Linked DNA regions of Anolis sagrei. The protein of the gene in region 4 binds, or shares a complex with, the protein of the main gene of each other region. Links are inferred from orthologs where the notes say so. Each region holds a gene or a part of one and is shown on either strand. Other genes may lie near its edges.

Evidence for each region.
Region 1: NUP214 (region 4) and NUP160 share a complex: the UniProt entries of both Homo sapiens proteins name them as parts of the nuclear pore complex. The link is inferred for Anolis sagrei from reciprocal best matches to the Homo sapiens genes NUP214 and NUP160.
Region 2: NUP214 (region 4) and NUP205 share a complex: the UniProt entries of both Homo sapiens proteins name them as parts of the nuclear pore complex. The link is inferred for Anolis sagrei from reciprocal best matches to the Homo sapiens genes NUP214 and NUP205.
Region 3: NUP214 (region 4) and NUP153 share a complex: the UniProt entries of both Homo sapiens proteins name them as parts of the nuclear pore complex. The link is inferred for Anolis sagrei from reciprocal best matches to the Homo sapiens genes NUP214 and NUP153.

What each region holds. Positions count from the first base shown.
Region 1 is NC_090021.1:231,925,042-231,933,092, forward strand, and holds the start of NUP160 (nuclear pore complex protein Nup160), read right to left. Parts: upstream 3,660-8,051; 5' UTR 3,603-3,659; coding exon 3,494-3,602; intron 2,228-3,493; coding exon 2,119-2,227; intron 1-2,118. UniProt on the Homo sapiens protein: Functions as a component of the nuclear pore complex (NPC). Involved in poly(A)+ RNA transport.
Region 2 is NC_090025.1:157,994,561-158,002,686, reverse strand, and holds the start of NUP205 (nuclear pore complex protein Nup205), read left to right. Parts: upstream 1-4,786; 5' UTR 4,787-4,829; coding exon 4,830-4,857; intron 4,858-7,293; coding exon 7,294-7,436; intron 7,437-8,126. Other genes in the region: POLR3H (DNA-directed RNA polymerase III subunit RPC8), read right to left, coding at 23-109, 629-725, 1,498-1,681, 2,723-2,799. UniProt on the Homo sapiens protein: Plays a role in the nuclear pore complex (NPC) assembly and/or maintenance. May anchor NUP62 and other nucleoporins, but not NUP153 and TPR, to the NPC.
Region 3 is NC_090024.1:81,879,604-81,887,480, reverse strand, and holds the start of NUP153 (nuclear pore complex protein Nup153), read left to right. Parts: upstream 1-4,308; 5' UTR 4,309-4,352; coding exon 4,353-4,496; intron 4,497-7,877. UniProt on the Homo sapiens protein: Component of the nuclear pore complex (NPC), a complex required for the trafficking across the nuclear envelope. Functions as a scaffolding element in the nuclear phase of the NPC essential for normal nucleocytoplasmic transport of proteins and mRNAs.
Region 4 is NC_090031.1:17,129,231-17,137,919, forward strand, and holds the start of NUP214 (nuclear pore complex protein Nup214), read left to right. Parts: upstream 1-5,329; 5' UTR 5,330-5,402; coding exon 5,403-5,444; intron 5,445-8,689. Other genes in the region: AIF1L (allograft inflammatory factor 1-like), read left to right, coding at 2,247-2,337. UniProt on the Homo sapiens protein: Part of the nuclear pore complex. Has a critical role in nucleocytoplasmic transport.

The DNA.
Region 1 (8,051 bases), on a different chromosome or scaffold from region 4:
AAACTAAAATTCAAAAGTTTATTCAGACAAGTGCAAGTTTCCCCTAACCAATTTCAAAGTAATATGATTTCATTTTATTGGTCTTCTCCCCACCCACCCTCCTCATGGCTTTGGAAATTATGCCCATCCACCCCCATAACAATGCACCTGAAAGATGAATCAGCAGCCTTCCTGACAGAAGTTCTGAACTATGTCACAATTGTCCTCATGCAGATTTTTGAGATTTAGACATGATTGTGAGCTCCTCGATATCACTCCATTCACCAACTCCATGTTTTCCTTATATACCATCCTGCTTTTAACTCAAGCACTTTCAAACTTAGGCCTCATATCTCACTGCAATATGCAATTGACCTTCAAAGTACAAGCAAACATCTAGTTATAAACATCTCACTTACATATGACTCCTAATGATGTCTCATTACAGGAAGTGAGAGGAAAGGGAAATTCACTCTTGTAAGAGGAAAAAGGTGTCTCAACTGAAGCCTCATTATCAATCCTTGTTTCCATGACAAGACAAAATTTTCAAAATCCAATTGTCACAGGGACAGGAAATGAGATGAAATCTTTTGAACAGGGCACAGACAGCAAAACAAACTTTACAGGCATGCTAATCCATTCCCATGCTATCTAAAACTAAAAAATGGTTTTGGCTGGCTTTTCACTTAAAAAATGTAGTAGTTCTGACTTACATACAAATTCAACTTAAGAACAAATGTCTAGAACCTATCTTGTTTGTTGGCTCTGAAATTCTTTGCTATACGGCTGGTTAGTCCCAACAGAGTACTATAATCAATTAAATCAGTTGTTAATGTTTAGGTAAGTCGCATTTATTCAATTCTAGTCATGTTAGTGAAACAAGAACTCCAATCTGGTTTATATGCAAACTCTATAGGAGTTATCCAAGGTGCTGAAATCATTTGTGGGCCTATAGTTCAGCATCTGGGACAGTTCCTGTAAAATTCAAACTAAAACCTTTAGCAAAACCCGCATCACACTGTTATGGAAGCCACTAGAAATCAATGCTTTAACTCTGACTTCAATGTCCATTTCAATACCATATACAGTTGCTGTCACTGGACATTCAAATTACGCATCACTGATTTAAATACACATCTCACCTGAGACTCCTTCCCTGGATGTATATTTTTACCTAGTGAGGAACTGGCCAATGCAAAAAAAGGAGCATCTAAGCCAGGGGTCCTCAAACTTTTTAAACAGAGGGCCAGGTCACAGTCCCTCAAACTGTTGGAGGGCCGAATTATAATTTGAAAAAAACATGAATGACTTCCTATGCACACTGCACAATTATTATTTGTAGTGCAAAAAACACTTTAAAACAATTCAATAATTAAAATGAAGAACAATTTTAACAAATATAACCTTATTAGTATTTCAATGGGAAGTGTGGGCCTGTTTTTGGTTGATTAAATAGCTGCTGTTGTGTGCTTTCAAGTCGTTTCAGAGTTAGGTTGACCCTGGGCGAGGGCCAGGTAAATGACCTTGGAGGGCCTTAGTTTGGGGGCCCCTGATCAAAGCTTTACAAAATCAGCTTTATTTACACAGCACCTTTGGACAAAGATCTAGAAAACATTCCTCCAATCTTAGTTGCAAAAAAAAATAATCAATGTTGACATCTCTCTAAACACAAAGGTTACCAGGAACAGACAAAAAGGGCCCACTGGAAAGAAACAAATGAAGCAGACACTACTAGAATGTTTGTTATCACCAACACTTCCATTCATAGTTCATGGTATTAATAACAAAATCCTTACTATACTTTGTGTATTTAATTCTACTCTGACTTCAATCAGTATTCCAGCTTATCATGTACTTTGTGGAAGTCTGTTTATTTCTTTCTCTAGAAAGGAACTCAAAGATAATACTCCATTCCTCTGAGGAAGTGGACTGAATCTGTATCACAAGTTATAGTAAGTTTGGTAGTTTGAAAAGTATTCTATAAGTATTGCTTCCTCAACCTAATATGGTTGCTCCCTCCCCCCAAAAACAGAATTCTTAATCTAGGGCCCCTTTCAAAGCAAACTAAGGGGTAGATATTTGTGACAAGAACAGAATAACTGTTCAGCCAGACAAAAAGCACTTCTTTGGCCCACTCACCAATGAATGAAGCGGTTTCTGGTTACCGATCCCAGCTGCGCATTCTGCTGGTACCAGTATCCACCAGCGCTGTCTGCATACCGCGCGGCTGTAGAGGACAAACCACCACCTGCAATGGGCAAACAAGGGAGGCTGGTCAGCCACCATGCACCACATAAAAGAATACCATTACACCTGCTGGCAACAAAAAAATGTTTTTCCATTGGCCTGTAGAGCCCGGTTTAGGTGGTCCAGTTCCCCTTGGAGGAGGAATTCGCAGATTCTGTTTGCACAGTCTGCCAGGGCTTTAACTGTGCTTCTTTTTTTACTTGGGTGATGGTTGTAGTTTTTATGTAGGTATCTATCCATGTGTGTAGGTTTTCTGTAAACTGTGGCTCAATTGTTGATTGGGTTTGCGGATAACTAGGACATCTAGAAATGGCAGCTTTCCTTCATATTCTTTTTTCATGGTGAATTGAATGCTTGTAACAGTTTTTAAAGTATTTTGGGTGACAAATACAAAAACCTTAACAAAGAAGGCATACACAGTTCTTTTAGTACTTATGTGAATACAAGTTGCACATTCCTTATTCAGAACTCTGATATGCTCCAAAATTGCCCACACTGGATGGCTGACATAGAGACACCTTTGCCTTCTGATAGTACAACATACACAAATTGCGTTCCATGCACAAACCATTAAAAAGTACGTTAAAAATATCTTTATACTGGCTGTTAGGAATTGCGGGAGTTGGAAGTCCAAAACACCTGGAGGCAGGGCTGAAATTTGCCCATGCCTAGTATAAAATGTATACAAAGTATAATCAAATTTCATGCTTAGGCTTGGGTCCCATCTAAAGGTACCTCATTACAAAACATAAATTGTCTGCTTAGATTTGGATGCCCATTTATATATCTCATTAGGTACATATATTCAAATACAAGTATGTATATTTTCTCCAATAAATCCAGGGTAGCTCTAGCCCAGAAATGGGCAAACTGAGGCCCTATAGGTGTTTTGGACTTCAATTCCCACCATTCCCAGCAGCCTCAGGTCCCTTCCTTTTCCCCCTCTGCCGCTTAAGCGGCTGAGGGGGGAAAGGGAGGGGCCTGAGGCTGCTGGGAATTGAAGTCCAAAACACCAATAGAGCCTCAGTTTGCCCATGCCTACTCTAGCCCCAAGCATTTCGCATACAGGGATACTCAACCTGTACAAATTTCATTCGGTAACGTACTACAACATAGGAACATAGGAGTATGTACGTGGTGGAGCAACCCTGAGGTCATTTTTGGATTGACGGCCTTCGGTTTTGCAGGCCTGAGCTACTGTTCCAGCCTGGCTGATACCGCTGCTCGAATAGGAGGGTGGCCCACCTGGCCCGGAAAGAGCACCCACCTGGGAGGCTGAAGGCGAGCTCCCGGGCTCGGCGTCGCGGCCTCCTTGAGGTCCCGCCCAGCTCCAGGTAGCCACGCTCCCCGAGGCCCTCGGCCACTGACGCCGCCATCTTCCCTTCCCGCGCGCGGCGCCGCGGGGCCTCACGGGAGGCAGGAGCAGGAAGAGGGCGTGGCCGGAGGGAGTGCGCCTCCGCTGTGCATCATGGGGCGGGAGGGGGCGTGGCTGTCTGCGCGACTCGTGCCCTTACGCTGCTTACGGAAAGGACAGGCGGCGTTGCCAGGGCAACGGCGGGATGATTGGCTCTCAGTTACGTCCGGCCTAACGGTCGTTGCGTGCGCGTTGATTTCAAAAGGGATGATGTCCAGCCGGAACCAATGATTTTCCAAATATAAACATCAATCCTCACAGGTTGAATGGTCTGTTGGAAACTAGGCAAGTGAGGTTTATATATCTGTGGAATAATGCCCAGGGTGGGAGACATTGTCTGCTGGAGGCAAGCGTGAATGTTGCAATTGGCCACCTTGATTAGCATTGATTGAATGGCCTTGCAGCAATTAGCTTTGAAGCTGCAAGACCATTAAATGCTAATCAAGATTATCAATTGCAACATTCACACTTGCTTCAAGCAGACAGGAGTTCTTTCTCCCATATATAAACCTCACTTGCCTAGTTTCTTTCTCCCATCTCACCTCTGAGGATGCCTGCCATAGATGTGGGCAAAACGTCAGGAGATAATGCTTTTGGAACATGGCCATACAGGCCGAAAAACTCACAGCAACCCAGTGATTCCAGCCATGAAAGCCTTCGACAACACATTAAGGATATATATAAATGTATTTCTAATCAGAACCCTGAAGACATTTTTGTATTATCCTTATACATATAAACCAAAGGTAATGTTATACAATATTTTAAATTAAAGTTTGTGTTAATAACAGCTTATATATTTTACCAATCAAATGTTCATCTTCTGTAAATAACTGTAACTCAAGTTCAGATTTACTTTATTATTCTTTCTTCCAAAGAAGATATTGTGGTGCCATGGATGTGGACTCACTTTCTTACACTGTGTGTCACAAAAAAGCCCTCAAGTCACCAAAAAGCATTGTGTGAGCAGTGTGCTGTATGTAAGGAATATAACCTCCATATGCATGGATGCCTGGAGCTCTTGTTACAAGAAATAACACATTGGAAGGTGCTGTAGCATCATAATATCTGCCAGGTTCAGTATTCTTCAAAGGAAGAGGATCCTGGCCCATGGGAGAGGTTTTGTTTCTTCCTTTTCTGGTTGATTTGAGAGCATTATCACATTTTCCTAACAGCTTCTTTGCACATAGCATAAGTTTTCATGACTATCACCCATGCTACATACAGTGTCATTCAGAAATTTGAGCGCATTTTTATTTGTTTATTTATTTATTTAGAACATTTTTACCCCACCCTTCTCAATCCCTGGGGGGACTCAGGGCAGCTTACAATTGGCAATAATTCAATGCCACATCATAAAATACAGGATAACAAATAACAATTATACATGAACATTAATAAATAAAGATGGATGCTCAGTCTCATTATATACAATTGTGTAGAAAATGGTGCCACTCGCATTAAAAACAAAATCAATATTTTGCTTTTTTGGATTTGTAATATATATTTTCAAGCTGTGGATGGTAGAATCCATGCATGCAGAATCTATGGATATGGAGGGCTGACTATAAGAGTATTATGCACATGTATAGGATAGGATTGTAGCCATTGTGATCAAAGAGAAATCAAATGAGAAAGTACTGACTGGTATTTACCTTATTAACATGTCCATGCAACTTTTATTTATAATACAAATGCCTTGGCAGTAGATAACACATGTCATAATATTGAATTATAGACTGCATTATAATGAATTATAATGCAGCTATTTCCCTTCACTCTCCCTTTCATTCAAATCTTTCTTTTTTGTTTCTTTTTCCCCACAGCAGTTGTGTTAAGGTCAGTGATAAGAGGTCTGGTGTTTCCTTGGACACTGATGTGTCATTTTACTGATTTGTTCATATTGCACTACATTAACTGCCATGGCTCAATGCTATGGAATAATGAGATTTATAATTTGGGGAGGTACCAGCACTATTTGGCAAGGAAGGCAAATGCCCTTGTAAAGTTACAATTCTCATGAGTTTATATCATTGAGATATGGCTGAGCAGGAATTTGAACTCTGGTCTCAAAGTTGTAGTTGAACACTTAAACTACTACTGTATACCACACTGGCTCTCCTCCTGTCTCCTGTTCTTGCTTTTTAAAAAACAAAATAGAGGTCAGTATGCTTTATGTTTTCAGGAATTCCAGTTGCTGATTTACCTTGGCTCTGTCTCTAGAGGGCATCAGTCACTTTAAGATCCTTGGCACATCGTTTGTTTATTTTCCCCATAAGTTCATATGTTAAGAAAACCTATTCATTTCAATGTGCTGGAGAAGAGTTATAGGGATACCACAGACTACTAAAAAAAAACCCCAACAAACCCAAATTAATGGGATTTAGAGAAAATCAAGTCTGAACTCTCAATAGAATAAATAATGACTAAATTGAGTCTGTCTTATTTTGGAAGTATCCACAAAAGAATAATATCTTTATTGACCAACCAAAATGCATAAAACCAATGATGCAAACTTTCAAATCTCTGTTCACGTTTTAATCAGGCAAATGTGTTAAAATATGAAAGGTGATGGAGTCACAGACCTAAATATAGTCTTACATATTGTTCTGTTCTCACATTTTTCGCCCTATGGAGAGCGAGACAACGTTACATTAAAGTAATGTATGAGAATATTAGTACAGAAAGTGCTTGTGAAGACATGTTTTATTATCCCATGAGCACTCAATGCTTTGTTTTAAATTTCAAGAAAATGTTTCTCTTTGTATAGTCCTATGCAACATTGTGAGAGTCATTTCTGCTTATTATTTATCACGGGATTGAGGACAGAGTCCAGAAAGAGCAAGAACAACACTTAGTGAGTTGCTTTTGTTGCTTATCTTTCTCAATCCAACAATAAAAACAAACACTTTCCTCTTTCCCTCAAAGACTTTGCTTTCCCCAAAAGCTTTGATTTCCCTTTTTATTGTCTCCTTTCTCTCATACAGGAATGGAAATCAAATAGAGTCCTAGATGCTGTTGGATTACAACTCTCAGTTTGAAATTGCATTATATGACAGCATAGGTGGGATCCCAATATATTTAACTTAGCATTCTGAAATATGAGAGGAATGCTAAAAGTTGCAATTTGTGATTCCTACCCCTACTTTAGCAGAACAACACTTTTCAAGAACTTAGATTTTGGAGAGCTAAAATTCCCTGTATCAACTAGCCAACATGTTCGTGCTAGGTAAAAGATTCCTGAGGATTATTGTTCAAAAAACTAACCTTTCTAAACTCTTTGCTTTATTAATTAATTTTAAAGGCAATATATTTATTTATGGGTTTTTAAAAAGTTATCTCCATTGCTTCTGCCCTGGAACACTGCTGAAATTTACAATCTGAATCAGCAATCTAGCTTTGGTCTGTATTACACCTTTTGTGTTGCTGTTTCTCATAGTGAGACACAAGGTGAACCTACACTGTAGAATTAATACACCCTTAACACCACTTTAACAACTGTAACTGAATGATATGGAATACTGGGAGCTGTAGTTTTACAGGGCCTTTTGCCTTCTCCACCAAATAGTGTTGGCGCCTCACCAAACTACAACTCCCATTATGCCATAGCAAGTGGTGTCAAACTACATAAATTCTACAGTGTAGATGTACCCCCAGTGGTTGCTTTTCCATACCAAAAGGCAGATTTGTTGAGACTGTAGAACAAAGTGATCAATATACAGAGTTAAAAATATCTTTTTCTACCCCCCCCCCAGTAATTCATCAACACAACTGACCCAAAGTATTTTGTTGCCTAAATAGTAGCTGCAAATGCCCAAAACTAGCTGAATTGTTTTGACACATGACACAGAAAATACCAGAAACACTTTTGCCCATCTTCAGATGTTAAAAAACCCCTAAATAACAAAGCAAATAACTAACACTTTGCTGTTACTTCATGACAACCATCATTTCTTGCATCAGTTGGGCATATGGATGCCAGCCCTGGCGTTATACCAGTTTAGTTCTATTAAACCTTTAATTCTGTCTTTATCGTTAATTCTCACATCTCCCTTGCTATAGCAGATGAGATTAGATTTGGGAGGCTGGACACCCTAAATTATACACTCAAATTATATTTTTTAAGAACCTGGACCCTTACGTCTCTTTTCTATCTATACTTTGGACTTTCTTCAAGAGGATGTATTTAGTTCAGGGTCAGCCTTTTATCTGCTTTATCAATGGATTTCCAGATGAGCTTAGATCCTTGCTGTTCGATTCTTTGAATCTAGATATCAGTTGTCACTTCATCTGTGCTACCTCATTGTATCACAATGGCCTTGGAAGCTTTGTTATGCAGCAGGAAAGTATTGCCTCTAAAACCATGCCTTTTCATCATTTTCATATACTCAGATAACAATGTACCTGTATG
Region 2 (8,126 bases), on a different chromosome or scaffold from region 4:
TTTAATAAAAATTAAAATTTACCATGAACTCCTTCTAGACTGCAGCCTTTTATCTCTCCAACCAAAATCTCATCAAGAAAGGGATGAAACACCACATACCGAAAATGCACTATAAAGAAGGAAGCAGATTTTCCTTAGATAAATGTTTCACTTGTATGTTGTCAAAACATACATGTGCACAAAATTAGCATAGCAACATTGTATAGCACGAGAAAAAGCATGGTATAAATGCAGCTAATAAATAATTACAGCTGTACTTGCAAGGCAAATGAGCATAAGCCAGTTTGTTAACAGATTGAACATCAAGATAGAATATGGAACAAGTGTATAAGTGTGAGAATGCTAGCATTAAATGAGAAAATGTATACAGCATGGCAGAAATGGTACCTTAACCTGTCCTAAGCAAAAATGGTACCAAGGATGAAGGAGAATGAACATAATTTTTTCAGTTTCGTATGCCACAAAAATGTGCTTTCCAGCTGTATTATGTATCAGCACAACAGAGTTATAATAAAAAAATATGGAGTGCTGTGGTTACCCAGAAATTATTATGTTGCCTAGAGGGTAGTCTTGAAGATCCATAGTTGTCAGATCCAAAAATAATTGACATGGAAAACAACAGGCAAACCTTTTGTGTGTGATGCACCATCTCCTGGGAATATGTAGGAGTCCTCCAGCTTTGTAATGTCATAGAGACAAATACAGAGGCCAACATTATACACAACCTGTTTAGAGAAATAAATCCAAAAATCAATGAAGTTGAATACTTTGGAAGAGATGTGTTAGCCCCCTTGAAACAGAACAAGGAATACTGTACCAACAAACCAAACTGGTGAACGGATCTATAACTGGATAGATAAAAATAATTCAAATATGCAAGTAACGCTACAAGAACAAGAAAGAATGATAACAGAGGGGGTGGTTAAGGGGGAAATGAAGGTTCATACTTCTGAGTAGCCAGTCTCCTTATCAATTTCTCATTATTTTCAACATCTCTTCACTCTTCTATTTCATGTCATGTGGGAGCTCATTTACATATTAAATGTAACTAGTGAAAAGATACTAAATTTATATTGATCAAAATCAGCGACTTTACAGTGTATAATTTTAGCATTGCAGCTACATTCATTAAATATATGAGACAGCACCATGACTGTCCACACGACATTTGTCCACAATCCTTCATTCGCTTAACTGGGAATAATCTGCCTTTGACATATGTAAGATGGAGCAGTAAATAATAATAATAATAATAATAATAATAATAATCTTTATTTGTTCACTGCCTTTCTCACCCCTTTGGGGAACTCATGGTGGCCTACAGCTCTGGCAAAATTCAATGCCATATAGACACAGTCATAAAAACGTATTCCAACAAATAAACAATTAAAACAGATTAAGCAAATAAATACACATATTATTTGTATACACCCAAAGTTTACTGTCTTTAGAATCTGTGTGACAGTATAGTAGTGAGACAAACCATGCAAAGTTTACCTTATTGGCCAGTTTCTTATTTAACTCTTCAGTGATGGCATCATTAAGCTTCCTTTCAAACTGCCATGGAGGGATTCGCACAGTATCTGTCATCTCCACTAACACAAACATGATAACTTGCAAAAACAATGCTCCTGGGGAGAAGGGAAAATCAGCAAGAGGACTCTCCTTTCTGTAGTGATAGCTGTTGGAGAAGAAAGTGGCAAGTTCTAATTGTGGTCTAAGGGAAGAAAACGCCAACACTTGAGCAAAATATAAGATCAGCTTATCCTTCGATTTTATACTGGTGGAAGGAGGCTTAAATCATTGGTAGGAATTGTGTGACTCCTCAAAATGTTGTCAGGCTGCAACTACAATTGTGAGGAACACTGAATGTTGTACTAGGTATTATTTATTTATCGTATCAGGGGCAAACCAAACAGTTGCATTGCATTTTTTAACAAAACACGAAGTTTGCAAGCTTGGTAGTTGATTAAATGTCCTTTGACCAGTATCTGGCCACTTGGAGTGCCCCTGGTGTTGCTGCATTGTGCATGTGGCAGGGCTCAGGCTGAATTGTAATAGGTTTGTCTGTGGTTTGCTCTTCTCCACACTCGCATGTTGTGGATTCCACTTTGTAGTCCCATTTCTTTAGGTTGGCTCTGCATTGGAGAAGAAGCCTCTCCTAGTTTTGGCTTCTTCTCTTACTGGTTACATTAGAAGGGAATTTGCAACTGGAAGTAGTTTGAGGCCCAGAACCACAGAAAGGACATACAGAAGGGATCTTCTACCACAGTGGTTCTCAACCTGTGGGTCTCCAGGTGTTTTGGCCTAAAACTCCCACAAATCTTAACCAGTTTACTAGCTGTTAGGCTTTCTGGGAGTTGAAGACCAAAACATCTGGGGACCCACAGGTTAAGAACCACTGTTCTACCACATGCATGGGCCAACTTGGGCCCTCCAGCTGTTTTGGACTTCAACTCCCACAATTCCTAACAGCCTCAGGCCCCTTCCTTTTCCCTCTCAGCCGCTTAAGTGTGTTATACCTGTTCTACCATCAGTTACAACTTGCAAAGGCCTGCTTTGAGGTAGTTTATTGAAGCCAGCAGTGGCTTTCTATCCACACAAGCAGTCAGCATCCCCAACAGAACAGAAGACCCTCCAAAGATGGAAGCATATCTTTCCTAGAGCACCTCTCCGTTGTTTTCGATTATATCCCTGGAAATCAGAAATGCATCTAACTCACCCACAACCGCTTCGCCACGCGACCCTCTCCTTCTCCAGCAGGCGATAAACATCCGTTCGGGTTACCGCACCACGCATGCGCGGCAAACAGCAAGGCTACGAAGAGGAAGTAGAACACTGGAAAACGCTGTGCATGGTGGGAGCTGTAGTTTGGAGCGCTGGGAACAAGTCACCCTCCTGTGTTCACAGATCCTTTACCCAAGCCTTCATGGCCTGACCATATTTTTTTAAATCCGAAAAGTACACATTTATTTTATACCAGCCGTCCCCTGCCAGGCGTTGCTGTGGCCCAGCATGGTGATCTGGACAATAAAGTAATGAGAAAGTGTTGATTTCTAATATATGTAATTTCTTTATGCTTGTTAGTAAACAGTATTTCTTGCTGTTTCTTTGTCAGTGTTGATGTGGAGATTGTCTGATTTGCCTACTCTGGAACATGCAACATATAATTGTCCTTCTTTAGGGGTCCCTTTCAAATCTATACTATGCGCGTGAATCATATGACTGGGTGGCTCTTTGTCAAAAGGACTTTGTTTACGTTTTCTTGCCCTGGTGAAGAGAGTTGGACTGGATGGCCTTAAGTATTTTCTGTTGGCAGTGGGAGTTCTGTGTGCCAAGTTTGGTTCAATTCCCTCATTGGTGGAGTTCAGAATGCTCTTTGATTGTAGGTGAACTATAAATCCCAGTAACTAAAACTCCCAAATGTCAAGGTCTATTTTGCACAAACTCCATCTGTGTTCATATTTGGGCATATTGAGTATTCCTGCGAAATTTGGTCCAGATCCATCATTTTTTGAGTCCACAGTGCTCTCTGGATGTAAGTGAACTGCAACTCCCAAACTCAAAGTCAATGTCCACCAAACTCTTCAAGTGTTTTCTGTTGGTCATGGGAGGTCTGTGTGCCACGTTTGGTTCAGTTCCATCGTTGGTGGAGTTCAGAATGCTCTTTGATTGTATGTGAACTATAAATCCTAGCAACTACAATTCCCAAATGACTAAATCAAAATTTTTGAGTGATGGTCACTCCTTGGGTTAGTAGGTGTCTTGTGGCCAAGTTTGGTGTCAATATGTCCAGTGGTTTTTGAGTTATGTTAATCCCACAAACGAACATTACAAGTGGTTCTCAACCTGGGGTCCCCAGATGTTTTTGGCCTACAACTCCCAGAAATCCCAGCCAGTTTACCAGCTGTTAGGATTTCTGGGAGTTGTAGGCCAAAATAATCTGGGGACCCCAGGTTGAGAACCACTTAGGATGTTTTATATAAAGGATGTCAATTTTCTACGCCACTGTATATAAGAGGACTTGAATATCCGCAGAATACTCAGAAAAGTTAAACCAGCTAACACTTTCAAACAAAGTATTCCTGCAGGCAGCAACCAACCGGGCTTTGAAGCTGCAAGGCCATTCAATGCTAATGAAGGTCGCCAATTGCAACATTCACACTTGCCTCAAGCAGACAAGAGTTCTGGACATTCCACAGAATATAAACCCCACTTGTCCAGTTTCCAACAGAACTCACAACCTCTGAGGATGCCTGTCATAGATGTGGGCAAAACGTCAAAAAAGAATGCTTCTGGAACATGGCCATGCAGCCCGGAAAACTCACAACAACACAGTGATTCCGGCCATGAAAGCTTTGGACATGACATCAATCCATTCTGTTCAACAAGGCCTTGTTGTTGTGTACCCTGAAGCAGTTTCCAACCTGTGGCAACCCTATCACGGGTTTCCTTGCCAAGATAGATTCAAGAAGCTTCCTCTTCCGCAAAAAAAGGGTTTCTATTTCGACTTTCCCGCCCTTTTTTCTCCCGCTGGGCCTAGAACTACAAACCCCAAAGTTCTTTCCATGTTTCGATCTTAGGCGTCTAAATCGTGCCTGCGTTCCGGTCGTGCAATTTGAGCGCTTTTGTCGTAATGGACTAAAGCACTACCCTCCTACATGTGGCTAAAATAATGGAAAACGCTGATAATATGCATTTGCCATTTATTAGCCGAGTTGTCTATGAAGAGAGGATTTTTTCCTGATCCGGCAGATCGCGGGCACCTCTACCTGCTCTAGGCCCCTGAGAAGCGAGGGCGCCTTGAAGCCCCTTCGCGAGTTTCCAAGATGTCGGCGCCGCTGGCGGTAATTTCAGGTGAGAAGAGCCCCGAGTTTGGCCTGAGGCTCATTCGGGGACGGGGCGGCATCGTTTTGGGGTTGCCTTGCCCTGTCTTTGGGCCCTGCGCCACTCTTTGCCGTGGAAGGGAACGTGGAGGACTGCCTGAGACCCACAGCAGCCAAGTTCTATGGGGCTTGCTCCTAAGTACATGAGTATAACCCAGTGCAGTTACATAACAGTGTAGATCAGGCAGGGGCAAACTTTTGGAAACTCCCACAATCCTTAACAGCCTTAGGCAGTGGTTCTCAACCTGTGGGTCACCAGATGTTTTGGCCTTCAACTCCCAGAAATCCTAACAGCTGGTAAACTGGCTGGGATTCCTGGGTTGTAGGCCAAAACAACTGGGGACCCACAGGCTGAGAATCAGTGGCTTAGGGGGGAATGGAAAGGTCCTGAGGCTGTTAGGGATTGTGGGAGTTGAAGTCCAAAACACCTGGAAGGAGGGGTCAAGTTTGCCCACGCCTGGTATAACCACTCTGGGTCTCCTCGATTCAGAGAGAAGCACGGAGGAATAGTGGTATTAATAAAATAGAATTGTAAGATAATAGAATGATAGTTTTCTAAGGACAGGCAATACATTCCTAAGCTTACTTCTTTAGCAGCAACTTTGATACCAGAGGCAGGGAAGAGTAGGAATAGGTTTCTGTATACAATTTGTTAAGGGGAAGTGATAAGTATAAGAATGTTTAAACACTGAATATGTAAAACTACAATAAATATTTTTTTTTAAAAAAAGGAATAGGTTCTGGCAGCCACTTAAAGAAAAAACAAAATGCTGCATGAATGTGTTTTCATAGAATCATAAGAGTTGGACTAGACCGCATTGGCCATCCAGGCAAACCCCATTCTGTCATGCACAAACAAAGCATCCCAACCACCACAATCAGGTGGACAATTTCAACAGAAAGGAGGAAACTATGAAAATGAGCAATGTCAGGCGAACACTATTAAAAAACTAAAAGCAGGGAAGCAAATAAAGAACAACACTCAAAAACAGGGAAATTCCAGACAAGAAATAATCAGGGCCAACTAATCACCTCCTAAGAAAGGATTTCCTCATTCAGGAAGTAGCCAAGCTTTAAAGCTGCAAGGCTATTCATTGCTAATCAAGGCAATCAGTTGTAACATTCCCATTTGCCTCAAGCAGACAAGAGTTCTTTCTCCCACTCTGAACATTCTACAGATATATAAACCGCACTTGCCTAGTTTCCAACAGACCTCACAATCTCTGAGGGTGCCTGCCATAGATGTGGGTTAAACATCAGGAAAGAATGCGTCTGGAACATGGCCATATAGCCTGGAAAACTTACAGCAACCCATCCAGCCTCTGTTTAAAAGTCTCCAAGGAAGAAGCTTCCATCGCACTCTGAGGCCGAGAGTTCCATTGTTGAACAGCTCTAATAATAATAATCACAATAATAATGCTTTGTTTATATCCCTCCCCCTCGTTCCAAAGGGATTTGGGGCAGCTTACAACACAGAATACAAGATAACAGTCACACAAGCAGAAAATTAAACAAACAAATCACAATAAATAAAATCTAACAAACATAATTACTTACAACTTATAGCTATCAATCATATAACTATAAGACTTTAAACTTATGGTCAGGAGGTTCTTCCTAATGTTCAGGTGAAATCTTCCTGAGATGTAAATATGCGCCTTAGTATTCTCCCATTTGGTGGAAAACCAACAAATATTTTGTGGCATGCATTTTTTGTAGTTTACAACTTATTTATACTGGTGGGCTTGCTTTGAATGTGTGTGTGTGTGCTTTGAATGTGAGCTCCCCCCCAGCACCAACTGCTGCTCTGAGATCAGAGTGAAGAGAGGGGCCAGGAAGGCATTTCCATCTTGTCTCCTGCACTGTGCTTATAATATAATATAATATAATATAATATAATATAATATAATATATTGTATATACATATAATATTGATACTATTATAATGTAATACAATATAGTACTACGAATAATATTACAGTATAATGTTATAGTACAATATAGTAATATATAATATTAATATTGTGCTATGGTAATAATATAATATATTGTATTTACATATTGTAAGCTGCTCTGAGTCCCCTTCAAGGTGAGAAGGGCAGCATATAAATATTGTAAATAAATGCAGTTTTTCTACTTCTTGGGAGGGAGTTGGATTGGATGGCCCACAAAGACTCTTTCAACTCTATGATTCTATGTTATCAAATAAATGATTACCCACATAGGGACTTTTCTTTTGCTTTCCTGTCTCTGTTCACTAAGCTGATTGCTGCTTTTGTAAAAAATTAATTAATTTATCTTAAATATTTTTCTGTAAAATATTTTTGCACATGAATAATGTTTAATCATAATATTCACTTGTGGTAAATATCTTGCTTTTTTCTTGCTTTGTCTATTTTGCTTTTAGCTGCCAGTTTATGGGGACCCTACAAAGACATTTGGCAAGCAGTTGTTAATGCCATTTGGAAAAGGCAACCTGAAGCAATACATATTCTTGACCAGATTTTAAAGAAGCATAAACCTGATTTTATATCACTCTTCAGAAATCCGGTAAAAAGCAAACTTTTCTTCTCCCGGTAATGGGATAAAATAGTGTTGCTGGCATTGTGTGATTTTTATAACTATATTTATTATGTTTATATGTATTAAAATAATGAAGGATAGGTTTTTCTAACTGAATTTTTAATAACGTAGTGAAACTGTTTCTTCTTTATTCTAACTTGAATATTTCAGATTGTATTATAAGAAGTTTCTCAACTATTATAATTAAATTGATTTGACTGATAGATTTTAAAATTAAACGTGTATTCTAAGAGGCCTGCTGTTGCTAGAAAAGAGGGAAATAATCTAGAACTGGGATAGGAGTCATCCTTCAAATGTTTTTGGTCCTCAGATCTCAGCATATCTTGCCACCATAGCTCATGGTGAAAAACAATAGGAACTAGAGTCCAGTATCCTGAGGGCTATGTTATTCCTATCCTTGCTCAGTAGATTTGAAATCATAATGCCTATTTGGAAAGCTTTTAAACTCAAATTACAGTTACATCATTGTCATCATCATCATCATCATCATCTTTATTTATACCCCACCTTTCTCCCCGTCAGGACTCAAGGCAGCTAACACTCCACACTAGATAAGTTTAGAAGTGATTTTAATGTTTATATTGATACGTTTTTAATTCCACGTTTTAATGTTAAATGATGTCATGTTTTATGATTTAATTGATAATTGTATGTTAT
Region 3 (7,877 bases), on a different chromosome or scaffold from region 4:
TGGAACACAGCCATACAGCCCAGAAAACTCACAGCAACACAGTGATTCTGATCATGAAAGCCTTCGACAACACATTGTGTATGTTGCAATTGTCCAGCTTTATTTAGCATTGAATAGCCTCACAGCTTCAAAGCCTGGCTGGTTGCTGCCTTGGGGGATGCTTTCTTGGGAGGTGTTAGATGGCCCTGATTGATTCTTGTCTGGATTCCCCTGCTCTCTGAGTGATGTTCTTTATTTATTGTCCTGATTTTAGAGTTTTTTAAAAAATACTGGTAGCCAGATTTTGTTCATTTTCATGGTTTCCTCCTTTCTGTTGAAATTGTCCACATGCTTGTGGATTTCAGTGGCTTCTCTGTGTAGTCTGACATGATGGTTGTTCGAGTGGTCCAGCATTTATGTGTTCTCAAATAATATGCTGTGTTCATCAGGTGCTCTGCTATTACTGGCTTCTCTGGTTGATGCCTGCCATACATGAGGATGCCTGTGATAGATGTGGGCGAAACGTCAGCAGAGAATGCTTCTGGAACATGGCCATACAGCCAAGAACACTCACGGAAACCCAGTGATTCCGGCCATGATTATTATAAATTAAAAATAGGTAAATGTGTTGTTGAAGGCATTAATGGCTGGAATCGCTAGGTTTCTGTGAGTTTTCTGGGCTGTATGGCCATGTTCCAGAAGCATTCTCTCCTGATGTTTTGGCCACATCTATCGCAGGCAACCTCTGAGGTTGAGACGTCTTTTGGAAACTGAGGCAAGTGAGGTTTATATATTTGTGGAATGTCCAGGGCAGGAGAGAGAACTATTGTCTGTTTGAGGCAAGTGTGAATGTTGCAGTTGGCCACCTTGATTAGCATTGAATGGCCTTGCAGCTTCAAAGACTGGCTGCTTCCTGCCTGGGGGCATCCTTAGCTGGCTCTACTTCTTTCATCCAAGTAATATATACTCACAAATACAACAGTATGTATAGGTCAATAATCAATTAACAGGTTTGATAAACCTGTTTATTGATTATTGACCTATACATACTGCTGTATTTGTGGGTATATATTACTGTGGTATATAACCAGGAATCCATTTAATTTATATTCTTCCTGCTTGTTTCATGTCAGGAATCCCCAGTGTTTTGAGTGTTGCTCTTTATTTATGATTTTAGAGGGGCTTTTTTAAAATACTGGTAGCCAGATTTTGTTTTGTCCTCCTTTCTGTTGAAATTGTCCACATACTTGCAGACTTAAATGGCTTCTCTGTGAAGTATGACACAGAGTCTGACAACTGACCTCCCAACCTCTGAGGATGCCTGCCAGATGTGGGCAAAACATCAGGAGAGAATGCTTCTGAAACATGGCTATACAGCCCAGAAAACTCACAGAAACCCATTATTATTGTTACTCTACACCTGGACTCAAGCAGGCATTGAATGTTTGCCTTTGTGTATTCTGGAATCCGCCCTGAGTCCCGTTGGAGAGATAGGTTGGAATACAAATATATTATTATTATTATTATTATTAGAAGCACAACAAGATGAATCTACAGCAGACAAGATCACTTTGCTGGCTGTTGTATTGGATCATACATCGGACACTTCCCAAGTGTCTAGGACTGTGTGATGTATTGGTGAATAATGCGCTCAGATCCCAGTAAGGTGGCCTTCTGCAGCTGGCAGATGGTAATTTTGTCAGCGCTGATTGTGTTTAAGTGCAAGCCAAGGTCTTTAGGCACTGCACCCAGTGTGCCGATCACCACTGGGACCACCTTGATTGGCTTGTGCCAGTCTTTGCAGTTCGATCTTTAAATCCTCATATCGTGTCAGATTTTCCAGTTGTTTCTCTTCAATCCTGCTGTGACCTGGGATTGCAACACTGACAATCCATACTTTGTTTTTTAACACAATCGTGAGGTCAGAGTATTGTGCTCCAAAACTCTGTCTGTCTGAATTCGGAAGTCCCAGAGGGCTTTGAAGTGTTCATTTTCTGTAACTTTTTCAGGCTTGTGATCCCACCAGTTCTTTGTCGCAGGCAGATGGTATTTGTGGCACACGTTCCAATGAATCATCTGAGCTATGGTGTTATGCCTCTTCTTGTAGTCTGTTTGCGCAATCTTCTTGCAGCAGTTGAGGATGTGATCTATTGTTTCTGCTTCCTTGCAGAGTCTACAGTTAGGATCTGCTGTTGACTTTTCAATTCTGGTTTTGATGGCTTGTTCTTGGGCTGCCAGAATCAGGCGTCTCCTTTTTCAAAGTTCCATTTGAGCCACAGCCATGTTTTGTTTTGTTTTTGTCAATTTGGCTCTCAATTTTTCCCAGGGACTGTCCATGGAGAGCCTTCTTTCACCAGTTTTCTCTTCTGCTCTGGATTGTGTTTTTACGGCATTCCCTCTTTGTCTTTTGCACTTGAAGCAGTTTACTACTATTGACTTCCCTCAATGTTGGTTCTTGACTGCCTTTCACATAATTTGCCAGTGCATGTTTCTCTTCTTCTACCATTTGTTTCACTTGCAGAAGCCCTCTGCCTCCTGATTTTCTGGGCAGGGAAAGTCTGTCAACATCACTACGTGGCTGTAATGAGTTGTGGATTGTTATCACTTTTCTTGCTTTTCTGTCTAGATCATCCAGGTCTGCTTGTGTCCAGTTCACAATCCCAGCAGTGTATCTAATGACGAGGATGGCCCAGGTGTTGATAGCCTTGATCGTATTTCTGCCATTTAATTTGCTCTTCAAAACCTTTCCTACTCTTCGGACATATTATTTGCTGACCACATTTTTCACTTCCCCATGCTTGATATTGTCCAGCTGTAGTATGCCCAGATATTTATAGGCTTCAGGCTGATTGCACCTTATGGTTTGTCCATTTGGCATCTCTATGCCCTCGCTGTGAGTAATTTTCCCTTTCTTCAGTGCCACTGTGGCACATTTGTCTAGGCTGAACTCCATACCGATGCCAGTGCTGAAGATTCTGACTATGTTGGTCAGTGCCTGGATTTCAGTTTTTGATTTTCCGTAGATCATCCATGTACACCAAGTGGGAAATTTTTGGTGAATTCACAATTCCAGCAGTGGGTTGTTGTAGGGGTTTTTTGGGCTATATGGCCATGTTCTAGAGGCATTCTCTCCTGACGTTTCGCCTGCATCTATGGCAAGCATCCTCAGAGGTAATGAGGTCTGTTGGAACTAGGAAAAAGGGTTTATATATCTGTGGAATGACCAGGGTGGGACACAGGACTATTGTCTGCTGGAGCTAGGTGTGAATGTTTCAACTGACCACCTTGATTAGCATTTGATGGCCTGGCAGTGTCTGGACATCTAATCACCTCTCAACAAAAGATTTTCCCAGGCACTGCCAGGCCATCAAATGCTAATCAAGGTGGCCAGTTGGAACATTTACACCTAGCTCCAGCACACAAGAGTTCTTTGTACCACCCTGGTCATTCCACAAACCCATTTTCCTAGTTCCAACAGACCTCACTACCTCTGAGGATGCTTGCCATAGATGCAGGCGAAACGTCAGGAGAGAATGCCTCTAGACCATGGCCATATAGCCCGAAAAAACATACAACCCAGTGATTCCGGCCATGAAAGCCTTCGACAATTCCAGCAGTGTAATAATAATAAAAATAATGTATTATTATTATTATTATTATTTTAAAAAGGCCCAAGCCTCCTTTCCAGTGATGCCATTTCCCCTCAGAAACTGCAACCGAGTCTTTTTCTGAAGAGAGGCAACAGCCTCCTAAATTCCCGCTCATTCCAGAATCTCGGCCCCTCTCCTCTCGCGAGATCCCGCGCCTCCTCTGGAAGGCTGCGAGAGCCTCCACCTGCCTGCCTGCCTGCTAGGTATGGCCTAGTAGTCGGTCTTTCTCCAAGACTACATTTCCCATGAGAGCGCAGTGGCATGAATGAATCCCGGCCGCTCAGCGAGCGGGAATGACGCATGCCATGATGCTGCGTCGCACTTGGGTGACGAGAGGCCGCACGGGCGTGTGCCCTTTGGTTGGTTGGTCGGTCTGTGGAAAGGAAGCGAGGAGGAGGAGGGAGGGAGAGAGGGGGAAGTCTCGGGCGGGCTAGACGGTGACGAGGAGGAGAAGAGAAGAGAAGCGCGGCGCGCGGGGAAGCCGGGCGTTCCGTGTGAGGGGCGCGAGGCGGGCTCCCTTCGTCACAGAGAGAAAGAGAGACAGAGAGAGTGACAGCACAGAACGCGCGTGAGGGCGAGAGCCAGAGGCGGGAGCAACGTGAGGGGAGAGCGCGCGCGGGCGCGCGCTTGAGGGGAGGCCGGGTCGGGCCAGGCCTCAGGTTGCGCCGCGCGCTCGAGGGGGAGGGAGGGGGGAGGGGGAAGGGAGCAAAGCGAGGCCCCGAAATGGAGGCCGGAGAGAGCAGCGGCGGAGCAGCAGCAGGAGGCGGCGGAGGAGCAGCAGGAGCAGGAGGCGGTGGCGGGAAGATACGGACGCGGCGGTACCACCACGCAGCGCCCTCCTCCAAGCCTTACCCCAGGAACAAGCAGGTGAGGCAAGGAGAGGCCCAAAAGCATGGAGACCTGAGGGGAAGAAGGGAGGGAGGCGGGAAGGAAAGAAAGAAAGAGGCAGGCCCGAGGGAGCCTCCGCCAAGGAGCTTCGCAGAGGGCCTCAGGAGCAGCCAGGCCATGGAGGAGGAGGAGGAAGAGGAACAAGGTCCCGCGCCTCCTCTTCCGCCTCTTCACATGAGGGACCAGGGCCTTCCAATACAAGGATATTATCACAATCCAAACCAATAGGCCTTTATTGGCATATATAACAAGACAGTATAAAATAAAATCTATAGAAATAAAAATGTAATGTGAGATCAACATAACTCAAAAACCACTGAACGAATTGACACGAAATTTGGACACAATACACCTATCAGTCCAACGAGTGTCCATCACCATAAACACACACACGCGTGCATGCACACACACACAACCCCAGCGGAACAGGCTTAAAAACCCCAGAAATACACCATATATAGCTATACACTCATATACATATGCACATGCACACATTCATACACACAGACCCGTAGCCAGGATTTTGATTGGGGGGGGGGAGGCTGGGTTTGGTTTGGGGGGGGCTGAGTCTGAGTGAAAGAGGGTCTACCCTAGCAAACCTTTTGTATCATTACCCCAATACCCCCATGCATATGGGATATATTGAGCATGGTGATCAGATCATGATATAAATAAACATAACAATTTAAATAGTGTACCAGTAAGGCCTTCTTGCGGACCACCATGAGAATTTCGGGGGGGGGGGTTGAAGCCCCTCAAGCCCCCCCCCCCCCGGCTACATGCCTGCATCCACACACACACACACACATATATATATATATATATATGCACAAACACACACAAATATACACACATATACATACACATATATACATATACACATGCACATATACATGCACACATACATATACACATACATGTCTACATACATATATACACACAAATATGCATATAGACAAGCACACACACATACACAATATGCATATACACATATAAACACAGAAATACACAAATATATACATGCATATATACACACAAATATATATACACAAATATATACACATGCATACATATATATACACACACCACATATATACAGACTGGGCCACAGCAACGTGTGGCAGGGGACAGCTAGTACAGTATAAATGATAAAAGAAAGAAAACTTCACATTTCCAACATGTTCAGTTTACAGACTTCATCCAGACTTGTTTCCTTTTAATGTTTGATGTTTTGCTTTACATTTGTTATAATAGGCTGTGTTTTTAATTTAATTTTAGTTGTTAAGTTATCATTCGTGTTTATATGTTGGGCTGTTTAAATTTTGTTAGTATGGATGTATTGCTGTTGTATTCGGGCATTGAATGTTTGCCTTTTATGCTTGGAATCCGCCCTGAGCCCTTCGGGGAGATAGAGAGGAATATAAATAAAGTCATTATTATTATTTGAAACACAACAAGATGAGTCCACAACAGACAAGATGACTCTGCTGGCTGTTGTATTCAATCACACGTAGGACACTTCCCAAGTGTCTAGGACTGTATGATGTATAAATAAAGTATTATTATTATTATCATCCAGGAACCTTTCCTCTAAAAGGCAACAGTTAAAATCTTGGCAGTTTAAACACGTAATTATTTTTGTCAGGGTCATTATGTTTTTTTCAAAAAATCTATAACTTGTAGTAGAAAGCTAGATCTTAGTTCCTGGTAAAGTGCAGAAGAATGTGCAGGATGGAATCCAGCTGTTCCTGTGCTACAGGAGCAAAGCCTCGTTGCAATATATCAATAATAATTTATTATTTTGACTAAATAATAATAAATAATGATGGGTGATACCGCACCATCAAATTGCACTATAAGGTTAATAATAATATGGCATTGAATGTTTGCCATCTTTTGTTGGAAACAGCGCTGAGTCCCCCACGGGGCAGGTTATAAATAAAGTTTTATTATTAATATTATAAATAATCATAGTTCAATGTGTTGTTGAAGGCTTTCATGGACGGAATCATTGGGTTGCTGTGAGTTTTCTGGGCTGTATGGACATGTTACAGAAGCATTCTCTCCTAGTGTTTCGCTCACATTTATGGCAGGCATCCTCAGAGGTTGTGAGGTCTGATGGAAACTAGGCAAGTAAGGTTTGTGTATCAGTGGAATGGCCAGGGTGGGAGAATGAACTCTTGTCTTTTTGAGGTAAGTGTGAATGTTGCATTTGATCACCTTGATTAGCATTGAATGGCCTGCAGCTTCAAAGCCTAGCTGCTTCCTGCTTGGGGGAATCCTTTGTTGGGAGGTATTAGCTGGCCCTGATTGTTTTGTGCCAGGAATACCCAGTGTTTTGAGTGTTGCGCTTTATTTATGATTTTAGAGTTTTCTAATACGGGCAGCCAGATTTTGTTCATTTTCATGCTTTCCTCCTTTCTGTTGAAATTGTCCATATGCTTGCGGATTTCAATGACTTCTCTGTGTAGTCTGACACAGGGTCTGACAACTGACCTCACAATCTCTGAGGATTCCTGCCATAGATGTGAGTGAAACAGGAGAGAATGCCTCTGAACATGGCTATGCAGCCCGGAAAACTCACAGAAACCCATTATTATTGTTACTCTACACCTGGACTCAAGCAGGCATTGAATGTTTGCCTTTGTGTAGTGCCATCAATTAGCATTCTAAAGTTAACAATAATCTAGTTTATTGATGTAGCAGAGGCATGGACAAACTTCGGCCCTCTAGGTGTTTTGGACTTCAACTCCCACAATTCCTAGCAACCTCAGGCCTCTTAATTTCCCCCTTCAACAACTTAAGCGGCTGAGAGGGAAAGGGCCTTAGGCTGTTAGGAATTGTGGGAATTGAAGTCCAGAACACCTGGAGGGCCGAAGTTTGCCTATGTCTGATCTAGCACCATCAAATTGCATTGGAAAGTTAACCATAGTAATAAGAATAATAGAGGTTATTCATATGGCACCATCAAAATGCATTGTACTGTTGATCATAGTAATAATAGATCTGAATAGAGCACAGGGTCAACATGCGGCTATGAAGTGACTGGAATTTGGAAAGGCTTCCGGATTAAGATTTTGGGTCTACGTGCAATGTTTAACAGTGTATGTACTGTATTTATATGATGTTGTTTTTATGGCTTTTTATGATTTTAATGTATATTGTAATTTGTATTTGTATGTTTTAATGTGGCACAAATCTATGCCCAGCCTCCCTAGTCTGATCATGCCCTTGTCCTGGTTACTGATTGTTGAGTTTGATATACTTTTAATGATGTTTTTATATCTTCCTGTATTTTTAATTGTTTTAATTAGATTGTCATTTGCCATTATGTTTTTAATTGTTTTTTTTTTGTAAGCT
Region 4 (8,689 bases):
AATTGTGTTTTGAGGCCTTGGCCTATGTAAGCAATATCGAGTCCTTCGGGAGATGCTAGCGGGGTGCACATAAAGTTTAATAATAATGATGATAATAATAATAATAATAATACTCAAAAAACACTGGACAAATTGACACCAAATTTGGACACAAGGCATCTACTAACCCAAGGAGTGACCATCACTAAAAAAAAAAATGATTTTGTCATTTGGGAGTTGTAGTTGCTGAGATTTACAGTTCACCTACAATCAAAGAGCATTCTGAACTCCACCAATGATGGAATTGAACCAAACTTGGCACACAGAAATCCCATGACCAACAGAAAAATACTGGAAGGGTTGTAGTTCACCTACATCCAGAGAGCACTGTGGACTCAAACAATGATGGATCTGGACCAAACTTGGCACAAGCACTCAATATGTCCAAATATGTGTTTGCAGGAAATAGACCTTGACATTTGGGAATTGTAGTCACTGGGATTCACAGTTCACCTACAGTCAAAGAACATTCTGAACCCCACGAACAACAGAATTGGGGCAAACGTCCCACACAGAACACCCATAACCAACAGAAAATACTTTAGGCCATCCACTCCAACTCCCTTCATCAGGGCAAGAAAACGTAATCAAAGCTCTCCCAACAAAGAGCCATCCAGCCATAGATATAGATAGATAGATAGATAGATAGATAGATAGATAGATAGATAGATAGATAGATAGATAAATGGATGATAGATAGATAGGGCGTTGTAGTTGCTGGGATTTATAGTTCACCTACAATCAAATAGCATGATAGAATTGAACCAACCAGGGCATACAGGACTTCCATGACCAACAGAAAACACTAGAAGGGTTTGGTGAGCATTGACCTTGAGTTTGGGAGTTGTAGTTCACCTGCATCCAGAGACTACCATGGACTCAAACAATGATGGATCTGGACCAAACTTGGCACGAATATTCCATATGCCCAAATATGAAGATAGATGGAGTTTGGGTGAAGTACACCTTGACATTTTGGAGTTGTAGTTACTGGGATTTATAGTTCACCTATAATCAAAGAGTGATCTGAATCCCACCAACGACAGAATTGGGCCAAACTTCCCACACAGAACTCCCATGACCAACAGAAAACACTCAAGGCCATCCAGTCCAACTCCCTTCACCAGGGCAAGAAAATGTAATCAAAGCCCTCCTGACAGAGCCATCCAGCTATAGATATAGATATAAAGGATTCACACACACACAAATATAGTATCATAGATTTGAAAGGGACCCCTGAAGAAGGACAATTATATGTTGTATATGTAGGCAAATCAGACACTCTCCACATCAACACTGACAAAGAAATAGCAAGAAATACTGTTTACCCACAAGTATATTAGAAACCAACACTTTCTCATTACTTTATTTTCCAGATCAACAGACTGGGCCACAGCAACGCGTGGCAGGGGACAGCTAGTGTGTGTGTGTGTTTATATATATATATATATATATATATATATATATATAGTAGAGTGCATGAATAAAAGAACTCCCAGCAATCGTCCAGATAGATAGATAGATTAGATAGAGATAGGTACGTAGGTAGATAGATAGATCAAGAGGACTGCTGGGAGTTGCAGTCCAAGAGAAGGAAAAAAGGGGAGAAAGCAAAAGGGAAAGAAAAGGGGGGAAGGAAGGGAAGAAGAAGAAGAGAAGGAAGGAAGGAGAGAAAGAGGAGAAGAGAAAGAGGAAGGTTGGCCACTGCAATGCGTGGCAGGTACATCTAATGTATATATATAGTATATAGTATATAATATATAATATATTATATGTTATATATTATATATAATATATTATATATAATATATTATATATTATATATTTGCACTGTCTAATTATGAACATGAGTTCTATACAGATATAGTTTTCCCTCGTTACTTCACGGTTCGCTTTTTGCGGACTCGCTGTTTCGCGGGTTTTTGCCTCCCAGTTTATGAATGGTTGCCGTTGCCGTTCTAATCCTGCCTCCTGGCAACGATGGAGTGTGGAAGGGGGTGTCACCCCCCCCCCTCAGGAGAGAAACAGCCAATCAAGAGAAATTGCAAAGCAAAGCAGAGATAACTAGCAAAAAAAAAGGTGTATTCATATATAGCATTCCTACTTTGCGGATTTTCACGTTTTGTGGGTAGTCCTGGAACGTAACACCCGCGATAAGTGAGGGAACACTGTATATAACTGGATGGCCGTTTGTTGTCTCCTTGCAGGGTCATGATGTTTGAAGACAAGGCCGGTGAAGGCGCTGCCCCGAAGGCCCCCGGCCCCCCTCCGAAGAGGGACATCTCTACCCTGCCGTGAACCCCCTTCCTTTGGGAAAAAGACCCCCACTTGACCCCAGACCCTTTTAGGAAGCCTGCCCTCCCTTACTAACTCTCTGCTTTAGCAAAGGAAGAAGGATCGAGAAGGGAAATTCCTGGGACCCTGGCCGGAGGGACCTCTTAGAAGTAGCCGTTTTAAATATATGCATATATATATATATATATATATATATATATGTATGTATATCATATAAATATCATATAAACATATATTATACACATATCTATCTATTTAAGCACTGTCTGTATAGCCGGCCGTGTCTCTGGAATGGGCCTGGGTTCTCTTTGCAAACAAAATGTCATCCTTTTATAAATCATTAATGACTTTAAATAATTATAATCTATATCTTCTAAATCTATATCTAGGATGGTTTTAAATGAGGTATTTTAATATTTGATAAATTGTTTTTTAATGTTTATGTATTCTATTTGAATTTGTGTCCCGGCATTGAATGTTTGCTGTATATATGCTGTGCTCCGCCCTGAGTCCCCTTCGGGGTGAGAAGGGCAGAATAGAAATGTTTTAAATAAATAAATAAATAAATAAATAAATAAATAAAGAGAATGTTTGTATGTATGTGTGTATGTATGTGGCAGCTTTCTGATTGTCTGCCACTGTGGCGTGCACGAGCGACGGACCTGGACCAAACTTGGCACACATGGGATGATGGGACTTGAAGTACCTTCACTCCCTTCCTGAGACTACTGCTTCAATGACTGATCAAGTCGTCAGGCAAGCATACATTGAATACAAAACAAAGCCTTTTTATACATATACAGAGCTGTCAGATTTGAATCTCCCGCTCCCCGCCCCTCAGCCGGCTCGGCGCTGATTGGTTGGTGCTCTACAGCTGGGAGGAGGCTTGGTCGCCTCCGGAGTGCCTTAACCAATGGGTGAGCTCATGCCGTTTCGGCCTCCTGGCCAATCAGGAGAGAGGGAGGCGGGACGAGAGGGAAACAATGAGAACTTGAGTGGATTATGGAAATATGTGATGTCCATGTGGCTGGTGAGTCCTCAGGGGCCTTCCAGCTGACCAGCTATTGTGATGAGGAGTTGGTAATCAACATTGATGTCTGGCGAGGTGGCCAGAATCCGGATTTTTCTTGAGCAGGGATATGGGGACAATGGAACAATCTTATCTGCAGTTTCGGTTGAGGGAAGATAACTGAGTAAACAGATCAGGACAAATTGTGGCTTTCTGAAGGCCCTTGATAACTTATGCCAAGTGGGCACATCTCCTCAAGCAGTCGGACTCCGAGACCCAAGATCAGTGCCCATTATGCTATAGAGCAGGAATTTAGGTGTCTTTGCCAGGAGGCAGAGACCAATCAGGCTCCTTAAAGAGTTTGTTACCCTGGCGAGACAGAGAGAAGCACCCAATCCCTGATTTTTCCCAATAAAAGGTCTCACCAAGTTGAAGGAAGTGCCACCGAGGTTTATTAGCGATTCAGCTGAAAAGGATGCAGAGCAGCAATAATTCGCCAAGCAGAGCATGTGGTTACAGAAGTAAAGGCCATTTTTATAGAAAATACAGAGTTGTGAGTTTCAAAATTCCTGCTCCCCCCTCCCGCCCAGCTCGAAGGGGATTGGCTGACGCGCAAACAGCTGGGAGGAGGCCTGGCCATCCCCCATGCATCAGGGCCAATCACAGGGCTTTTGCGGGGCACCAGAGCCTATCAGGAGGCTCCTGCTGCCTCGACGCTCCAGCGAATCAGAAGGGAGGGAGGCGGGATGAAGGGAGACAATGCATTCTGGAGTGGATTATGGAGTTTTAATGTCCTTAGGCTTATCGAGTCTGGGGATCGGCCTTCCAGAGAAGCCACTTTATTGTCCTGAAATGGGTCTGTGATAAGCATTGATGGCTTAATCCGGTTTTTCCTCTTACAATCAGATAGGGCACAAAGGGGAAACTTTTGTGAGTGTCCTTAGTGGAAAGATTTGAAAGAAAAATGGCTTGGAGGAAAAGAGGACTTTCCTAAGGTCATATTTCCCCCCATTGTTATATGATTAAAAAGTCTGCCAGACAGGAACCCTTAAGATGGCCCAACTCCGAAGTCAAAAGGATTTCCTTTACTATTGTCCATGCAAAGAATGTCCAAAGAGAAGGGTCTTTTCATGATCGCAGGTTGCTTTTCCAGAGGCAGGGCAGATTCCTTGTAGATTTCCCCCAAGGAGAGGGGAAGGGGGCAAAAGGGTCAGGGCAAGGTCAAATACATGAAGGGAAATATAGAAATACAGGAGAAGATATGAAAATATAGAAATCATAACACAAGGAGTAAACCCAACTACCTTCCCCCAGTGTCCATAGTTCATATTATTCATAGGAAGGTCCATAAAAGGAAATATATCCATGAGGAGGAAAGAGAGTCCCTTGTTCATGAGATGGGGGACCATCAGGAGCCCAGGTGTGCCTCAGATGGAAAAATTCAAATATTTTTGTGGCATGATTTTCGGTAGTTTCTGCTGTAAACATATGAAAATAGGGCATCCCACCCAGAACTTGCCACAATTTATGATGATCCACACAGTCAAAGGCTTTAGAATAGTCAATGAAGCAGAAATAGATGTTTTTCTGAAACTCCCTGCCTTTCTCCATTATCCAGCATCCGGATATTGGCAATCTGGTCTCTCGTTCCTCTGCCTTTTCTAAACCCAGCTTGAACATCTGGCAACTCTCGCTCCATGTATTGCTGGAGTCTTCCTTGCAGGATCTTGAGCATTATCTTGATACCTTGCTATCTCTAGGGTCCCACATAAAACAAAAAAAAAATGGCCTAAGGGAACCAGAAGTCGATGTTGCAGTGAGGTGTCTATAGATTTCTAACTCTTTGGTCTCCTGAGCGGGCGGGTCCGAGGAAAACGCCACGATCCGCCTCCATTTCGGCTTCTCTAGGCTTCGAAAGCGGCTTTCTCTATGGGAAAGGTAAGAGAGAGGCGGGTATGGGCCTAGAGCGCCACCGGAACCGGAAGCTTCGTCCTGGTTTCCTTTTTCCGGCCGAGGAGGTGAGGTGAGGTGAGGCGGCGACGCGGAAAGAAGGAGAGGGATGGGCGACGACATGGACGTGATTCCCGAGAGGGAAATGAAGGTGAGGCGGAGGGGAAGCGAGGCGGAAGGGCTTCCTGGGGAGAAACTTGCTTTCGCCTCAGTCGACGGGGAAGAAGAAGGGCTGGAACTGTCGCTTGCCTGTTTCCAAGACTTCGAGGCTGGATTATTATTATTATTATTATTATTATTATTATTATTATTATTATTATGTATCATTCTATATTGAGTAAACATACCAGAAATATATTATTGTATCTTTCATGCAATACTTCATAGTTATGTTATTATACATTACTATTATTATAAATTATTTGAAACACAACAAGATGAGTCATAGAATCCTAGAGTTGGAAGAGACCTCCTGGGCCATCCAGTCAACCCCATTCTGCCAAGAAGCGGGAAAATTGCATTCAAAGCACCCCTGACAGATGGCCATCCAGCCTCTGTTTAAAAGCTTCCAAAGAAGGAGCCTCCACCACACTCTGGGGCAGAGAGTTCCACTGCTGAATGGCTCTCATAGCCAGGAAGTTCTTCCTAATGTTCAGATGGAATCTCCTTTCTTGTAGTTTGAAGCCATTGTTCCGCGTCCTAGTCTCCAGGGAAGCAGAAAACAAGCTTGCTCCCTCCTCCCTAGGACTTCCTCTCACGTATTTATACATGGCTATCATATCTCCTCTCGGCCTTCTCTTCTTCAGGCTAAATATGCCCAGCTCCTTAAGCCACTCCTCATAGGGCTTGTTCTCCAGACCCTTGATCATTTTAGTCACCCTCCTCTGGACACATTCCAGCTTGTCAATATCTCTCTTGAATTGTGGTGCCCAGAATTGGACACAATATTCCAGGTGTGGTCTAATCAAAGCAGAATAGAGCATGGGGAGCATGACTTCCCTAGATCTAGACACTATGCTCCTATTGATGCAGGCCAAAATCCCATATTGGCAGAGATAGCATGCAAAAAAAAGTGTGTGGTGTCTTTACATCTCTCCACGCTTCTCCCTCACCCTAAGAACGCAATATACATCTATTTATTTTTTTTGCCGTGTCAAGAATGACTCCTGGTGTGAGAGAATTGGCCGTCTGCAAGGACGTTGCCCAGGGGACGCCTGGATGATTTGATGTTTTTATCATCCTTGTGGGAGGCTTCTCTCATGTCCCCGCATGAGGAGCTGGAGCTGATAGAGGGAACTCATCCGCCTCTCCCCGGATTTGAACCTGCGACCTTCAGTCCTGCCGGCATAAGGGTTTAACTCACTGCGCCACTGGGGGCTCCATATACATCTATGATTTCCCTAGATCTAGAGATTATGCTCCTATTGATGCAGGGCAGAATCCCATTGGCTTTTTTTGCCGCCACATCACATTGTTGGCTCATGTTTAACTTGTTGTCCACGAGGACTCCAAGATCAAGTCCACAGCAAACGAGGTCACTCTGCTGGCTGTTGTATTGGATCACACGTCGGACACTTCCCAAGTGTCTAAGACTGTGTGATGTATCGGCTAATAATGCGTGCAGATCCAAGTAGGGTGGCCTTCTGCAGCTGGCAGATAGTAATTTTGTCAGCGCTGATTGTGTTTAAGTGCAGGCCAAGGTCTTTAGGCACTGCACCCAGTGTGCCAATCGCCACTGGGACCACCTTTACTGGCTTGTGATGTTGAGAGCTGTGCTGGTGATAGTATAAACTACCAGCAGGTTCAGCCAAGCCAGAGTGGTCTCCACTGAGAAGTAGAACTAAGTACACCCAAACCATTTAAATATGGTGAAACAAATTGTAAAGAAGTTTATACTGGCTCGGTCATCACCCAGGATAATAAGGACCACAGCAAGTGCTTCTCCTGGGCACCCATCGACAAGTGGGCTGCAGGAACCAGGACCCACTTCTGAGCAATCAGGGCGTGGGCCTGAAGGGCTACTGGAACCACCTTTACTGGCTTGTGCCAGAGTCTTTACAGTTCAATCTTTAAATCTTCACATTGTGTCCCACCAGATCTTTGTCGCAGGCAGATGGTATTTCTGGTACAAATTCCAATGAATCATCTCAGCAACAGTGTTGTGCCTCTGCTTGTAGTCTGTCTGCGCGATCTTCTTACAACAACTGCGAATGTGATCTGTTGTTTCATCTGCTTCCTTGCAGAGTCTACATTTGAGATCTCTTGTTGACTTTTCAATTCTGGCTTTGATGGCATTGGTTCTAATGGCTGCCAGAATCAGGCCATCCTTTGTCTCCTTTTTCAGAGTTCCATTCGTGAGCCTCAGCCATGTTTTTTCCTTGTCAATTTGGCTCTCAGTGTTTCCCAGGAACTGTCCATGGAGAGCCTTCTTTGACCAGTTTTCTCTTCTGCTCTGAATTGTGTTTTTATGGTATTCTCTCTTTGTCTTTTGCACTTGTTGACTTCACTATTGACTTCCCTCAATGTTGGTTCTTGACTGCCTTTCACATAATCTGCCAGTGCGTGTTTCTCTTCTTCTACCGTATGTTTCACTTGCAGAAGCCCTCTCTCAAGCTCCTGATTTTCTGGGCAGGTCAAGTCTGTTGACATCACTACACGGGTGTAATGAGGAGTGGATTGTCATCAGTTTTCTTGTTTTTCTATCCAGATCGCCCAGCTCTGCTTGTGTAGTTCACAATCCCAGCAGTGTATCTAATGATGGGGATGGCCCAGGTGTTGAGAGCCTTGATCGTATTTCCGCCATTTAATTTGCTCTTCAAAACCTTTCTGACTCTTTGGATATATTATTTGCTGACCACCTTTTTCACTTGCCCATTCTTGATATTGTCCAGCTGTAGTATGCCCAGATATTTATAGGCTTCAGGCTGATTGTACTTTATGGTTTGTCCATTTGACATCTCTATGCCCTCGCTGTGAGTAATTTTCCCTTTCTTTACTGCCGCTGTGGCACATTTGTCAAGGCTGAGTTCCATACTAATGTCAGTGCTGGAGATTCTGATTCTGTTTCAGTTTCCGATTTTCCATAAAACCTTAGATCATCTATGTACAGCAAGTGGGAAATATTTGGTGAATTTCTTGCTGTTTCATAGTCTTCCAAAACTTTGTCAGTCTGGTTTCGAAAGTCCCACAGTATTTTTGCGTGTTCATTTTCCACTACCTTTGCAGGTTTATGATCCCACCAGTTCTTTACTGCTGGCAGATGGTCCTTGTGACATAAGTTCCAGTGAATTATCTGGGCCACAGAGTTGTGCCTTTGTTTGTAGTCCATCTGTGTGATTTTCTTGCAACAGCTGAGGATATGATCCATGGTTTCATCAGCTTCCTTGCACAGTCTGC